Danio rerio: one gene and its partners. The protein of the gene in region 2 purifies or fractionates together with the protein of the main gene of each other region. This does not show direct contact. Links are inferred from orthologs where the notes say so. Each region holds a gene or a part of one and is shown on either strand. Other genes may lie near its edges.

Evidence for each region. Proteins that work in one complex are often made in the same cells at the same time.
Region 1: the proteins of polr2l (region 2) and si:ch211-140b10.6 purify together in Homo sapiens (affinity purification with mass spectrometry; 4 studies listed by BioGRID and IntAct, with this or other methods). This does not show direct contact. The link is inferred for Danio rerio from reciprocal best matches to the Homo sapiens genes POLR2L and POLR1D.
Region 3: the proteins of polr2l (region 2) and polr3k purify together in Homo sapiens (affinity purification with mass spectrometry; 3 studies listed by BioGRID and IntAct, with this or other methods). This does not show direct contact. The link is inferred for Danio rerio from reciprocal best matches to the Homo sapiens genes POLR2L and POLR3K.

The regions. Positions count from the first base shown.
Region 1 is NC_133199.1:25,555,898-25,560,829, forward strand, and holds the start of si:ch211-140b10.6 (protein POLR1D-like), read left to right. Parts: upstream 1-1,790; 5' UTR 1,791-1,877; coding exon 1,878-1,900; intron 1,901-2,193; coding exon 2,194-2,268; intron 2,269-4,556; coding exon 4,557-4,932.
Region 2 is NC_133182.1:13,341,246-13,346,157, reverse strand, and holds the start of polr2l (DNA-directed RNA polymerases I, II, and III subunit RPABC5), read left to right. Parts: upstream 1-1,798; 5' UTR 1,799-1,872; intron 1,873-2,166; 5' UTR 2,167-2,183; coding exon 2,184-2,278; intron 2,279-4,912. UniProt on the Homo sapiens protein: DNA-dependent RNA polymerase catalyzes the transcription of DNA into RNA using the four ribonucleoside triphosphates as substrates.
Region 3 is NC_133178.1:45,546,395-45,551,433, reverse strand, and holds the start of polr3k (DNA-directed RNA polymerase III subunit RPC10), read right to left. Parts: upstream 3,143-5,039; 5' UTR 3,018-3,142; coding exon 2,907-3,017; intron 1,146-2,906; coding exon 1,058-1,145; intron 1-1,057. Other genes in the region: snrnp25 (U11/U12 small nuclear ribonucleoprotein 25 kDa protein), read left to right, coding at 3,562-3,753, 4,530-4,620, 4,770-4,875. UniProt on the Homo sapiens protein: Core component of RNA polymerase III (Pol III) which synthesizes small non-coding RNAs using the four ribonucleoside triphosphates as substrates. Can mediate Pol I proofreading of the nascent RNA transcript.

The DNA of each region.
Region 1 (4,932 bases), on a different chromosome or scaffold from region 2:
ATTTATTTATTTAGTTTTTTATTGGTCTGTTTATTATAAATACAAATTATCTTTAGGGTACAATTATGGACCTTGAAATAAAAACTGTTTATTACAGCCAATAACAGCTAATAATACACTACTTATAATACATGAATTTATATATATATATACAGCGGAATGAACCACCAACTTCTCTAGCCACAACCCATCACTGAAAAACACACACCCTCATTCACTATGGTTAATTTTAGCATACCATTTCACCTGTACAGCATGCCTTTGGACTGTGGGGGAAGCCGGAGCACCCAGAGCAAACGCAACATGAAGAGAACATGCAAACTCCGCACAGAAATGCCATCTGACCCAGCTGAAGCTCGAACCAGCAAACTTCTTGCTGTGGGGTGAACGTGCAACCCACTGCGCCACCCAGTGACTTCTCAACAACAACCAAATATAAGTAACTTGGGAAAACAAATATAATTTTTTTCCTCTGAATGCATTTCTGTTTTTAGTGAATCTAAACTTATATTTAAATACATTTAATTTAAATAAATATCTAAAGAAAAAAAACATTAATTAAATAGTAATTATTGCTCACAAGTGACTTAGAATTAAGATATTTGATCAAGTTTTTTTTAATTATAAGCATTAAAACATAACACTATGTATTAATAAAAATTCAGACACAAACTATATCCAAGACCATTACAATAAGTGCAAAAAGCCACATCCAGAAATAATATTAAAACAAAAACATAACAAGTAAAAATATTAAATTAAATATAACTAGTAATAAAAAAAAAAGATTGGCACACAATCAGACTACAGTGAGGGATCAGTACCAGAAAAAAAAACTTCATGAAATCTAACATCAAGTCATTTTTTTGTTATTAATTTGCATTAGAAACTTTTTCAAAGTTTCCATTTCTAATAAAAATTAATAGCATTTTGGTATACACTTCGCAAACTTCTGTTTATGAATAAAATATTAACCTTGTAGCATGTAAAAATTAACAACATACCAACATACTCTAATGAGTGTGTGTGTGTGTGTGTGTGTGTGTGTGTGCGTGCGTGCGTGCGTGCGTGCGTGTGTGTGTGTGTAAAGAGCAAATACAATCTTTTAACATGTATTTGCCCAAATAACACGTCACTAACATCATACTAAAATGTAAGAGACATCACAGTTATAGAAAAGATGTGATAAGTGTGCAAGTATTGTCAACATTCATGTATTTAGATAAGATAAAAAGAGATTAATTGATTTATTTATTATTTTATTTATTATTTTTTTATTATTATTAAACAGCAGCAAATATACAATTTAAACATGACATCCAAAACTACAAATGTAACCTATAACATAAAATAAACTAAAATATAAATTACATAAGTTAAATAAATAAAAAGACTGTAAAGATATTATGTCATGTAATGCGCTTTGGGATCATGTAATGACGTAAAGAACCGTCGGAACATGTTGAACTGTTCCATTCAGAGCTGCTGTTCAAATGAACCATTTGATGAAATGACTCTGATTTTTTCACTACCGTTCGTTTGACAGGCTGCAGACGGCGCTGTTAGTCGAATATCAGTTGTGACCATCGAGATGCCTGATTAAAGTGCGATCGTAAAACCTATTATTAAGTCAAATAATAAACTAAAATAGACTGTTTAAATGTACGTACTTTTTGTTCCAAGTGCAGATAGTTTCTACATTTTTAGTTTGAATTTTACTGTCTGCTCACTTCCGCAAATTTAGTCAAAACTAAGATGGTCAAGCGGACCGGGGTCCTAAATTGGGTCCTCGAGAATAGTAAACACTAACGTTACTGGTTAGCAAGCTGGAACAAGCTATAAATTAACAGTGACTGCGGTTTAAGGTTAATTAGATCATGGAAGACAGTGAACTGGAAAGGTATGATATTTCTAAATGTCAATTTTCCCCCTTTTGACCAGTTTATTGGACTAGTTTACGATGCAGAATATGCTAACGCCCTCGGCTTCGTGCAAATTGGTCAGTAAATTTGTGTAAACCAAAACCTGAGACGAAGCACCATACTTTTGTTATATAGCAAACATTTCGGTATCCTAGAAAAGTCTATTTTGCACCGTCAGAGATTTAAACGTGCTATTTAATTTGGGGTCACGGTAATACATAAATTAACCCGTTTCTGTCGTCAAATGTCTCACTGTAAATAATTTCCCCAGAAAAGCAGTGGAGGAGCTCCTTAAAGAAGCGAACAGAGCAAAAGCCCGTGTCGAGACAATGGGTCCTGCTGGATGGTAAGTTTGGATCACTAAATTGATAAATTACAGATATTTAAAGTGACCAATTTGAAGTCTTTTTCTATTATTAGTAACCACTATTGCCCCCACTCTTTTACACACACGCGCACACACACAAGGGTGTAACTTTGGTTTTCGGATGTGAACTTAAACCTGTGTATGTATATATACAGTACTGAGTACACCCCTTAAAGATCTGTATTTTAAATTAATATGTAGTATAAAATGCTTTACAGTAATGCATTTTGCACAAACTCTTTAGATTTTAAGGTACAAAAGCCAAAACTGTGACTAATCAAATATGCTTTTCACAATAATCAATATATCGACTTATCGCACAACACATTGACATGACATCTATCATTTTTGGTGATGTAATATATATTGCCCATATATAAAAGTCAATTCTAGCAACATTTTAGCTGATGGTGCAACCTCTTTATGTTACTGTAGTATATTTTCATGCAGGTGTCTGACAACTGAAAATAGATCTGGTAGCAGATCTTGCAGCCTCTGTTACTTTTTACATTGCACTTTTTACTACTATTTATTCAGGATATGTGTTTTCACATGCTGATTCCCCTGCCTCATTATTAAAGTTAAAATGACTATAAATTAAATGAAACATCCTTAAGAATAAAATATTATGTGGTCTTTAGAAGAGTGTACTTGCATTTTGATGTTATTATATTGTCATTTTGGCATTATATAATAAGTGGCATAAAATGGTCTCAAAATGACAATATTGTTCATCATAATATATGTTGGTGCAATATATCATACAAGAAAAAATAGATATTATGACAAGCTTATAATTAAAAAAAACTATTTAAGATCACAGTGCAAAAATCAGTACACCTTAATTAATATACTGGGGGAAAATATTAAATAATATATTAATAAACGGGAAAAATACTTTTTTTTTTTTTTTTTTGCAAAAACTTGTTTGATTGTAAGTGTATTATTTTCTATCCTCGAAGGTGTTAAATGACTGAACCATATAACTGTTCTGTTTAAATAAACCAAAGATGATTGGCTGTATTCATTGGAAAATGGCTAGAAGAAATATTTATTTTTAATTGGGTGTAATCGTTTTTACTGGTGTTTTTACGGGAGAATCTTGTGGGAGTGCGGTAACAAAAGTGTCAAATGACTAATAATTGTAGAACATTTGAGCTGGCTTCAGTCCTTAGTTCTTTCATTTTCCTTTTCATTTTATTAAAATATATGTATTTAACTTGTTTGTTAATTAAATACAGTTCTGTCATTTAACCTATTATTTTTATGCAACAGTCAAGTTGCATGCTAATTTGCTCTGTGAAGGTTACGCGATTTATGTTTAAAATGTTGGTTATCGTCCTCCAAATCAAAAGATGTATGTACAGTATGTATGTATGTATAGACATTTACATTAGATGTTGCCTACGCTTTTTTCATCTATTGAAAGGAATTTGTCGATAGAGTCGCCATTTTAGTACAGGGTAGCGCTTCTTTAAAATGAATGTGGGTTCAAGGTGCAGCGGAGGACTGGCCATCCATATATACACATATACACATTTATTTACGATCGGGGGGTTTTCCATTGGTCAGTATGCAAATATTTTATGAAATTACAAAAATTATAAGTTTACATCACTTTTCTATATTGATGGATAAATGATTGCATGGGCATTCCTGGCAAAGAGTGTGTGATTGTGTGCATGGAAATGTATTATCTACCCTCCCTGTTTAATTTGATCTAATTCATGTCCTTAAACACACCCCCTCTCCTGCTTTCACTTTTCATTCCAACGGAGGGAGGGATTCGTTTGTGAATGAATCTCTGTTAAGAAGGACTTGATCACTTAGTTGACAATAATACAAGTTTTCACAGCAGCACCTTCTTGTTATATTTCATTTACATTGTTATCTCATTTTATTCAACAAAACTAGCATAAGTCTAGAATTGAGTGCCAGTTTGTAACATACAAAAACATAAAAAACGAAATCTTACCTATGAAATGTTCTGCCTTTGTGCTTGGTTTTCTTTGTTTGCTTGTTACTACACCCGTAAGCAGTGCTAAAGTCCAGCATCTTCACATTGGCTTTAGTCTTGATTAGTGCAGTTGAATGATGTCCTGGGAGCACTGTACAAATGTGGCGGCGCAATTGACGCATGCTCAGGAACCATATGCGATAGTGTATATATCTATGGAATGTATGTATGTATGTATGTATGTATGTATGTGTGTAATTAACTACTATATATGTCTCCTAAAGCTGCTTAAATTGCCGTTTTGTTTTAGGATGAAATGTCCACTGGGAAGCACAAACAAGCGCTTTCTCCTCAACACTCTTCGTTCCTCTGCCCTGACGCGCCAACCAACAAATCCACGCACATCTGAAAGAGGAGGAGATGAACATAGGTACAACAGAGCTTGTGAAAAACATCGTAACACAGACTGTGAAAAATGCAAACACAAAAAAGACAGCTCACACAGAAGACACTACTCTGATTCCCATTCTCACACTTCAAAACGCCACTCTTCCTCACGCAGTCATTCATCATCCCGAAGCCACTCCCCTTCCATCTCTCGGACGTCAAATAGGACTCGATCTCGCTCACCAGCGAGGGACAGTTCTCCAGATGTCAAAAAATACACTGACAAAAGAAAAAAATGA
Region 2 (4,912 bases):
ATATAAATAACTGTTGTCTATTGACTCTAATTTGAGTTAGATAGCTTTCCTTAATGCTCCTAATTTATTTATTTTCATACACTTTTATACAATTGTATTTTACTTACCCCTTTCTTTGTTTTGTTAGTCTTTTTTCCTTCTGCTGCTTATGTAGTTTGCATTTTTCCTCTTTTGTATCTCTCTTATATTGATCTCCTGATTGTGGTTGTATATTTTCATTCTTAAATAACTAAAAAAAAAAAAAAAAAAAAAAAACAAGGGCAAAGAGGCAGAGCGTGAGCGGAGTTACAGACACCAGCTAGCATTTTCCTTCAACCCTTGGCTTACACCTTCATAACCTGCGACTTGTTTGCGTTCTGACCACATGTGCTTGGTTGTATATATCAATAAAGTGTTTAGACTTTTAAAACACTGTTTTAATACACTGAGCCACTAAACATGTTCTTATGACGTTTTTCTACAGAAGGGAAAACACAAATTATATCCAAACACTTCAAATATAGTTTGAATTACTAAACGCAAGGCTGGTTATGAAATCCAGGCATAACACTATGACAGGTATGACAACGCTTCAGATGACTGTTAGCCAACAGTTAATCAATCTGTCAGATTCTGGAGTGCATTACAGCTATAATGAATATAATAAATGAACTTAAAAAAACAAATACATTTATAGAGATGGGATATAAATATATAATTTTACTCACCTGGGAAATTAAGGCCACTTTAACAGTTTGTGAGCACAATTAAGTGCACACAGCATGCCATACTATCTGATAATTGTAGGAAATAATTCCAAAAGACAAATGACTGTGTAAAGCCAAAAAAAAACAATAATAAAAATACAATGTATATGCCAAGTTCAGCAGCTAATCAGTCGGAATCAGCTGAGGTGAAGTGACGTGACCAGCAAAAGACACTCAAGTGGCCACTCCCTTAATTATGCAGACTTAATTAAACCTAATAAATGCTAAACGGATGAGTAATAAAAAAATTCAGCCCCTCACAGTTGTCATGAAGAGTAGTATTAGCTATAAGCACCAAAACCATCTATTGTACCAGGCTTTAAACATGTTTTTATCAGCTGTAAAATTGGCCAGTTTAGCATTGCAGTCAGAGAACATGTGGAGTTGCTGGAGCAAGCCCCCAGAGGAGAGTCTATGTATTTTGTATTGGCTTCCCAATGGAGAGCCGGAGGTTGCTGCTTGGTTTTTACAGCGTACATAAGACGCCCTTATTCTGAAGTGTTGTAAAAGCTAAAATATAAGATGGTTTTGGGATATACATAATAATCATATTGCTATTAGCATTATATGTGCATAATATGTGTTATACATGTAGAGCTTTGCATGGTCAAGCACCCCAATATATTCAAGATCTATGGAACTCTCTCCCTATAGCACTGAGAACTCTGGGATCAGTTGATCTTTTTAAAAAGCATTTAAAGACGCATTGTTTTGGTCAAGCATTTAATTCATAGTATTAGTGTTTCTGTATTTGGATTTTTTACTTGTTTTAATGTGTTTTAACATGTTTTCTTTTATTGATATGTGTTCTTTTACTTGTTTTCTCTAATTGTAAAGCTATTTGTTACTCAACGTCTAGGAAAGGTGCTACATAAATAAATATTTTCTTGCTTACTTACTTTTACTTTTTAAAGATTATACCTCACACATTTTGAAGGAGTTTTCTCAACACCAGCCCGCCACTAAAACAAAAGAAGAAGAAAGTTTTCGTATGTTGCTCATTTCGCTTCACGGAACGTTTCCTATAACCTTGTTTTCACCCGAGCGTGTTAGAAAGACGCAACACGGAAGTCTATCTGTTATAAGCCGCGCAAGAGGAACGTGTGTAGCGTGCGAGATTGTTTTGGTAATGTTTTCTAATTTGCTCGCTTCTTTAGTCAAAATGAGAGGGTGTAATATTTGGGGTTTAGTTTTGAGTTCGCATATAAGGAAATAATCTCGAGCTGAACCGCACTGTCACGTATTCAGTGTTACTGTATGTTGCTGTAGACTGCTTCAGTGTTACATTCTTGTGTACATTTATAGCTCAACATCTATTAAGTTACTGAGTTTTGTGTTACTTGTATTCGTTATTACGCAGTCTGAATTGCACAAACTTGTGTGTTATTAAATAAACCTCTACATTTTTTTTTCAATTCAGGCAACTCGTCCTTCATCATGATCATCCCTGTTCGCTGCTTCACTTGTGGGAAAATTGTTGGGAACAAATGGGAGGCGTATTTGGGTCTCCTTCAAGCGGAGTATACAGAAGGGTACGTTTATGAAACTAAAATGTGTCCTAAATTCGTTTGTTTATTTATTTATTTATTTGTTTGTTTGGCTAAGGAGTAAAGCACTCCTTACTAGTCCTCTTTACTAACTTTAGTCAAAATATTGTGTTTGGGGTGCTCATGCGGACCGGTTGACTGGCAGCACGAATTTTGCCAGATTAATATGATTAATGTTATTATACAGATTACTATTATTATTAACAAAATAAAGCCAGCATTGGCCTTACATACAAGCATCAAACCAAACTGAATTTAAACAGATTTATTAAAAACCTGAAAAACGACTCTAAGTTAAAGATTAATTGTGATTAGCCACATCCAAAATAAAAGTTTGTTTTGACATAAGCAATACTTGTGCATTATATATATTTATATAATTATTGTGTATGTGAAATACACTCATGCATAAAGGTATAGATTTTGCATAGATATTTAAAATTTATTATTTGCATCATATATATTTTATATGTAAATATAAATAATTATTTCCTTAAATGTATGCATCTTTATGTTTATATGTCCATAATAAGCATACACAATACACACACGTATTATGTAAAAAAAAAAAAAACATTTTTTTATGCGATTAATCACGATTAATTTTCCCCCAGCACTATGTGAAATACATCTTATAATTGAAAAACACCTGCAGCTAAAACAAACATTTTTAAGGAAATCTTTTATACATCAGCTATGACTATATTGAACAAATGACCATGAAGTAGTTTATATGTTGTTCTGTGACACTGTGAATCTGTTTGTGGTTTTAGAAACAGGGTTGTGTGTTGGTAATCCATGGTGTAGGAAGCCATATGATGTTTAGTAACATTTTGTGAGGCCAAATATGAATTTCCACATGTGTGGACAATAAAGACTGCTCATCTTTCTAATTAGAATTCTAATCTTTGGTCATACAGGCACATAGAAAAGCACCTTGTTATTTAAGTAATTCCCACAGCACTAAATTTCATTTAAAAAAAAAGTGCTGCTAGTTAATTATTATGGCTCAGATCATTATTTTGTCTGATTTTTTTCTTTTGTGGCAAGTTGCCATGTTATAAGTAAGATAATGTACTTACAATTGGCTATGCAAAAAAGCCATTCAGTCTTATAGGGCCATGAAACCTCCTTGTTTCAGAGGGTGTTTTCACACCTCTACTTTGGAAAAAGTCAGGAAAGTGGGCGTGTCCAGCTCTGTTTAGGAGGGAGTGTCGGAGGAGCAAATTAAAGAGGGTTCTGTAAAAATTTGCATAAAAATGGGAGTGTCATTTTGGGCACGTGCTGATTTTCAGAGTCAAAACACACACACACACACACACACAGGGGAGAAAGACTGACTGTGTTTACGTGGACATCAGTAATCAAATTATTTGACAAATTATTAAATGGTGGACATTAACTGCAGTTTGGCTCTTTTATTCAGGGAATATCTTCATGCCCCTCGTGACAAACGAGGTATTTGATTTGAGGAACTGCTCTAAGCTTGTATCTTTCATGCAATGTTTGATACGGCACAGCAAATGAGGGAAAAAAAACCTCTGAATTTCTCAATAACTTAGATGCACTCGGCAGGTAGGGTCAGAAAGTCGTGTGTGTTACTCCTGTCACAAAATGCAGTGAAAATCCTACACGATGGTAAGTTTGATTGTGGTGCTAACATGTTCACACTCCGTGTAACAGTTAGTTCGATACAAACTAACTTTGCCATCTGAAAAAGCAAAGGGCACTGTTCGCTCCCTTATCAAATCTGTAGAGACAGGACAAACAACACCAACTAGAGCCGCGTCTTTATTAAGAGGAGACGAGCGGCAAATCCGGATCTCACCATTTCCAGATGAGAAAAGTTCTCGGGTAAAAAAAAAAAAAAGTTCCTTAGACATGCATTGTTGTCGCATGCACTGTAATCCACACGTGGTCCAGCTGTGCGCTCATACAGAGAAAATGAAAACAAAACCTTCACTGCAGCAAATTATAAAAGCAACCCTTCACGCTTGTTTTGCCAACATAATGTGGCGTCTCTGCTGTCTGAACACTGTAACATTAATGAATGTTAGTGAAGTTGCACAATAGAGTGCGCTGATTGGTTTGAACCGAATCTTACTCGTGCATTAATGCAGCACACTTATAGACGTAATAAGACACTCCCAGGTACAGACGTCCAGTCTACACGCTGGAATACACGCTAAGATCTCATGGCCGTGACGCAGCTTAAAAAAATTGTTACAAACCGGAAGTACGAATTAGCTAGAAATAACGCAAAAACAACCAATTTTCACTTTTTAGTGAGATATATGTGTCTTAATAGTGTTTTTAGCAGTGTGGGACACTTATATGACTGTCAACAGCTCAAAAAATGTGTTTTGGTGTTTTGTGACCCTTTAAAAAATAGATTTTGTTTTTCATGAACAACTGGCTAGATGCATATTATCCTTTAAACCTTGTGCTGCAGGAGATGTTTTCATCTGCTTTGGGTGATTTTAAAGCTTAATTACGCCCCAACTTTCTCTGTTTCAGCAAATTGAATTATTTTTGGAGACAAATCTTATTTTGACACGCATTTTGGGAAAATGCTTTGAAAAGTTTTAAGACGTTTAACAATTACACTCTGGGCAAATT
Region 3 (5,039 bases), on a different chromosome or scaffold from region 2:
TAGAAACATACTGCCAACATACAAATCTATACTATTAACATACCAAGCCACACTAGAAACATACTAACAACACACAAATCTATACTAAAAACATACCAAGCCACACTAGAAACATACTAACAACACACAAATCTATACTAAAAACATACCAAGCCACACTAGAAACATAGTAAAGACACACCAATCCATACTAATAACATACTAAAAATATACTAATCCACACTAGAAACATACTAACAATATACCAATCCATGGAAGAAACATAACAAACATACTCCAAATATACCAATCCATACTAAAAACATACTAACAATATACCAATTAATACAAGAAACATAAACCACACTAGAAACACACTAAAGGACACACCAATCCATACTAGATACATACTAACAAACATACTAAAAATATATTAATCCACATTTGAAACATAGTAATAATATACCAATCCATGGAAGAAAAACATAACATACTCCAAATATACCAATCCATACTAGAAACATAATAAACCACATTAAAAAACAAACCAAGGCCACACCAATTCATACCATAAAACATAATAAAAATATACTAATCCATACTAGAAACATACAAACAATATACCAATCTATACTAGAAACATACTAACGGACACACCAATCCATACTAAAACATACTAAAAATATACTAACCCACACTAAAACATACTAACAATATACCAATCTATACTAGAGACATAAACCACACTAGAAACATACTAAGGACACACAAATCCATACTAGAAACATACTAACAAACATACTAATAATATACCAATCCAGACTAGAAACATACTATAATAATCTAATCCACACTAGAAACATACTAACCATATACCAATCTATACTAAAACATACCAATCCATACTAGATACATGCTGACCTATATGTAGTTATCAATCTATGCCGACTGTTTCAAAATTCTTAAAAACTATTTCAATTAATTAAACTTTAAAACTACTTCAAACTTTCAGACTAGTCTCAGTCAATCCACCATAAGTTTGTGAGCAAACTTTACTTTTCAAGTTTCATTTGTTTACCTGCAGTGGAATCCACATTTTCCCAAGCAGCAGATCCTCCAAGAACATCATCAACCTCCTTCAGTTTGGGGTACTTTCTGTTGTTTACCTGTTAAAGCACATAAACAGGTTTGTTTTCCTATTTTTTTATCAGGTCAATGATACTGTCTATGCCTGACCATAAACCTAACCCTCATAGAAACAAGCTTCAATTGTTAGATACTAATAAAAACAAGGATGGTTCAAGGTGATTTATAAGTGTTTTTAATTTTACTGCAAGTTGCTGAGACTTATTTTAGTATGTTGAAGGACCTCAAACTGAAACTGCATATTGAGTAGGGGGCGGGGCTTTCTTTTTGCACATCATTCCCTCATCAACTAAAGGTAAGAGGGGCGTGGTTAGGAATATTGTGGATGCATCTGCCAAACTGACATCATCAGAGAAGGACTGCCACTCCAAACGCCAGAGCAAATGGTCAGACTTTGAAGATTATCAGAACAAAGATTTTTTTTTTCGGTGAATTAGCTTGCATGGATTTATCATTTACCTAAAGAATAGCATTGTGTGCTTGTAAAATAAACACTGTAAATTTGGATTTCACACAGACTTTAAAGAATATATATGCGGAATGTTGAAAAAAACTATCAATGACATAAATAGCAAAAATACTATGACAAGTGGCTCTTCTTTAATATGTCACTGTATAAATACAGTTGTTACCAGTGTCTAAAACAGCGTCATTTTGAATTCTAATCAGAGTTTGAAATTGACTTTTTCACTTAACAGCCAATTACATTTACAGACCAACTAAGCATTGAAAACTTGTATGTGTTTTGGCCATTTGTTTGCACAACAGCATTTTGGGGGATGCAAAAATGAGTTTTTAAGAGCTATCTTTTAAAAACAATGTCAGTAGTTTATAGAGGTGATTTATTTATCCAGGTTTTGTGTTATGATTCTGAAGTTAGTATTGTCATGTGCTATAATTGCATCTGTGTCTTTAAGACGGGAAACAGGTGGCATGATGGGAAGTTTTGTAATGTTACGGAGTTCATAGACACAAGAGAAGTAAAGAGTGGTGGTAAAATGTTAACCTGCGTGTGGCACTGTGGCTGATTTAATTCAGAAGTATGTGCAATTTATGAATGAACATTTGATGATAAGACACACATACATAAGTATCTATGAAGTGACATCAAATATAAACTTTTAAGTATCCAGATGTTTATCCACCTGAAGCTATAACAATATTTCTAAAAAATTTCTAAAATATTTTTAATTCCTACGTTTTCAAGATAATATAAACGAAGTTCTTGGTTTATTAAGTACATTGAGTAAGTTTATATCTTCTGTTAAACAAAAGAAGATATTTTGAAGAATGTTGCTGGGATCCATTGACTTCAATCAACTCTTATTTCCTACTATGGTAGAAAATGGGTGCCAGCATTATTCAAAATATCTTTTAATGAGAATTTATTCTAAAACTGTAAATTTTATACATAAATATAATAACGTGATGAAATAAAGAGCATTTTAAAGTACAATACAATCTTATAATCATTTAACCATTTCATTTAAGTAACTACTCAGTAACCCAGCGTTATTTATCATGCTCTGAAAGCAATGTTTGATAGAACATAAACACTCCCTCACTCAAATCTATTTTTGTTATATAATTTGTAATGTTAGAAACATTGATCTCATCAGATGTTCCTCACACGTTCTCATATTATCGAATCAAGTCATTTCTTTCGTTTCATTCGAATCGAACTTTTAAATGTCGGCGTTCCGTCGAACTTTAATGCGTTCGAATCAAACGTTCCAAACGCTTATTAGATACAAATTTCCATAACCGGTGTTATGCATTACCTTCCTCGTGATGTTGTGCACATATGGACATGTGTTACACGCGAATCTAAAGCATCGCTGTCCTTCTTCCACGATTAACACATTCCCACATGTCGGACAAAACAGGAGCATTTTCAAACAGTCATAGATTATGTTACGTAGTAAATACAGTTATAGTTTCTTTCTGATGCAACTGAAGTTGGTATTTACACACAGTCCTTTCTAAGTCGCTACAGGAAGCACATGACAATCAATGTGCCTCTGTATTATTGGCTCGCCATAAAACGAAATATAGACAAGGATGAACACTGTTTCTGTTGTATATATTAAACTTAAATATATATGAAAATGTCAACGAATATATTAATGCTGATTAAAAAATATTTTAATAGAAGATTGTTATTGTAATAAAGAATGTGAATCATAAAAAACCTATGCGGAACTAAAGTCGGGTGCATCACTGAAATATTCCGACAGCGTGTTTATAAAAATGAAATGTAAAAAGAAATGCTGGAACGGCTCAAATTGTTAAAGTTACAATTTTTAATACAATAAGCTTCTGCAAAAGGCGTACAGTTTTTTTACGAAATTGTAGTTATGTTAACTATTAACGCTTAGTGACTTTTTTATAAGTCTTGGATTTCTATACCCTCAAAACAAGACGTTTGAAGATAAAATGGACGAAATAAAGGACGAAACCGAGCTCAAAAAAGAGTTAGAGGAGAAAACTGTGGAAGATGAAATAAAAGAGGAGCACGAAGAGGAAGAAGACGAGGAGGCTCTTCCACACTCAGAAATTCTGGACATCTTTGAAGAAGGGCTGGCTCTCATAGTGCAGGACCCGCTTCTGTGTGACCTGCCCATTCAGGTGTACATGCAGTCAAGGGGCTGTTTTAAACGGACAATTCACCCAGATATTAAAATGTTCGGTTAATTGACATCCCAAGATTCTGTTCTTAAGTAGAACAGAAAATACGTTTTTTTTTTAAGTTGAGAACTATGTTTTCCTATGTACGTTATCTATATAATGGTGGTCAAGAAGCGCCATCACTTTGAGTTTAATATATTTAAAATCTTCCTCAGAGCTGTTTGTCCAGGTTGTGAATAGCTGATAATGTAGTTGTAAATACTAGAGGGTAATAGTTCCAGCTTAAAATCTTCTATATTCTACAGATTTTTTTTCAACAGTTTCTTCTCCTCTGTGTCAGTATAATGCTCACATTTATGTGCCGCGTTTGGTTGCACCTCTGACTTGCTTATTACCTCAAATGTGTCTGTGAATTGTTTCAAACTAAGGAAGTCATAGTCAGTACATAAGTGCACACCACTCGTGAACACATGCAATACACTGAGGAGAAGAAACTGTTGAGTAAAGTAGTTATTTTTGTTTTATGTGCACACAGATGTATTCTCGTAGCTTGATAATATTCTGATTGAGCCACTGTAGGCATATGATCTGTTTTGATGATGATTAATTTGTATTGTTCAGGACTTTGAACAAATTGGAAACCATTGCTGTCTAGGGAGAATGAGGGAACTCTCAGATTTCATGAACCAACCATTTAATTTACCAGTCCTAAATAAACTGTTTATTTGAATGCATTAATTATTAATCCTATATTTCTGAACCTTTGAATTTTTCAGGTCACACTGGAGGAGGTAAACTCTCAGGTGGCTCTGGAATATGGCCAGGCTATGACTGTTCGGGTTTGTAAGGCGGATGGAGAAGTCATGCGTAAGTTTTCTTATTTAATATGTCTTTGCCAGATTCCCAGTGACCCATGAGATCTTGATCTGGGAAACAGCATATGTTTCTTGACATGTTTTTTTTTTAAATGGTTGTTATTTATTAATTGATTCTGACTGGAGCCCATCTCTCCACAGCTATTGTGGTTGTGCAGTCTGCAACTGTTCTGGATCTCAAGAAAGCCATTCGCAGATATATGGAGCTGAAGCAACAGCGAGAAGGAGGTGTCAAGCACGTCAGCTGGTGAGACGTGAGAAAAATATGAAGAGTTCAGATGCAAAATCTCCAAGTGCCATCTAGAATTTTCTTTTACAATGAGCATTTTTCTCAGTCTCTTCTCTTTATGTTCAGTGATTTCATGTTATAATCGATGGAAATAAGCTATTCTTTGCCATAAATTTAAAATT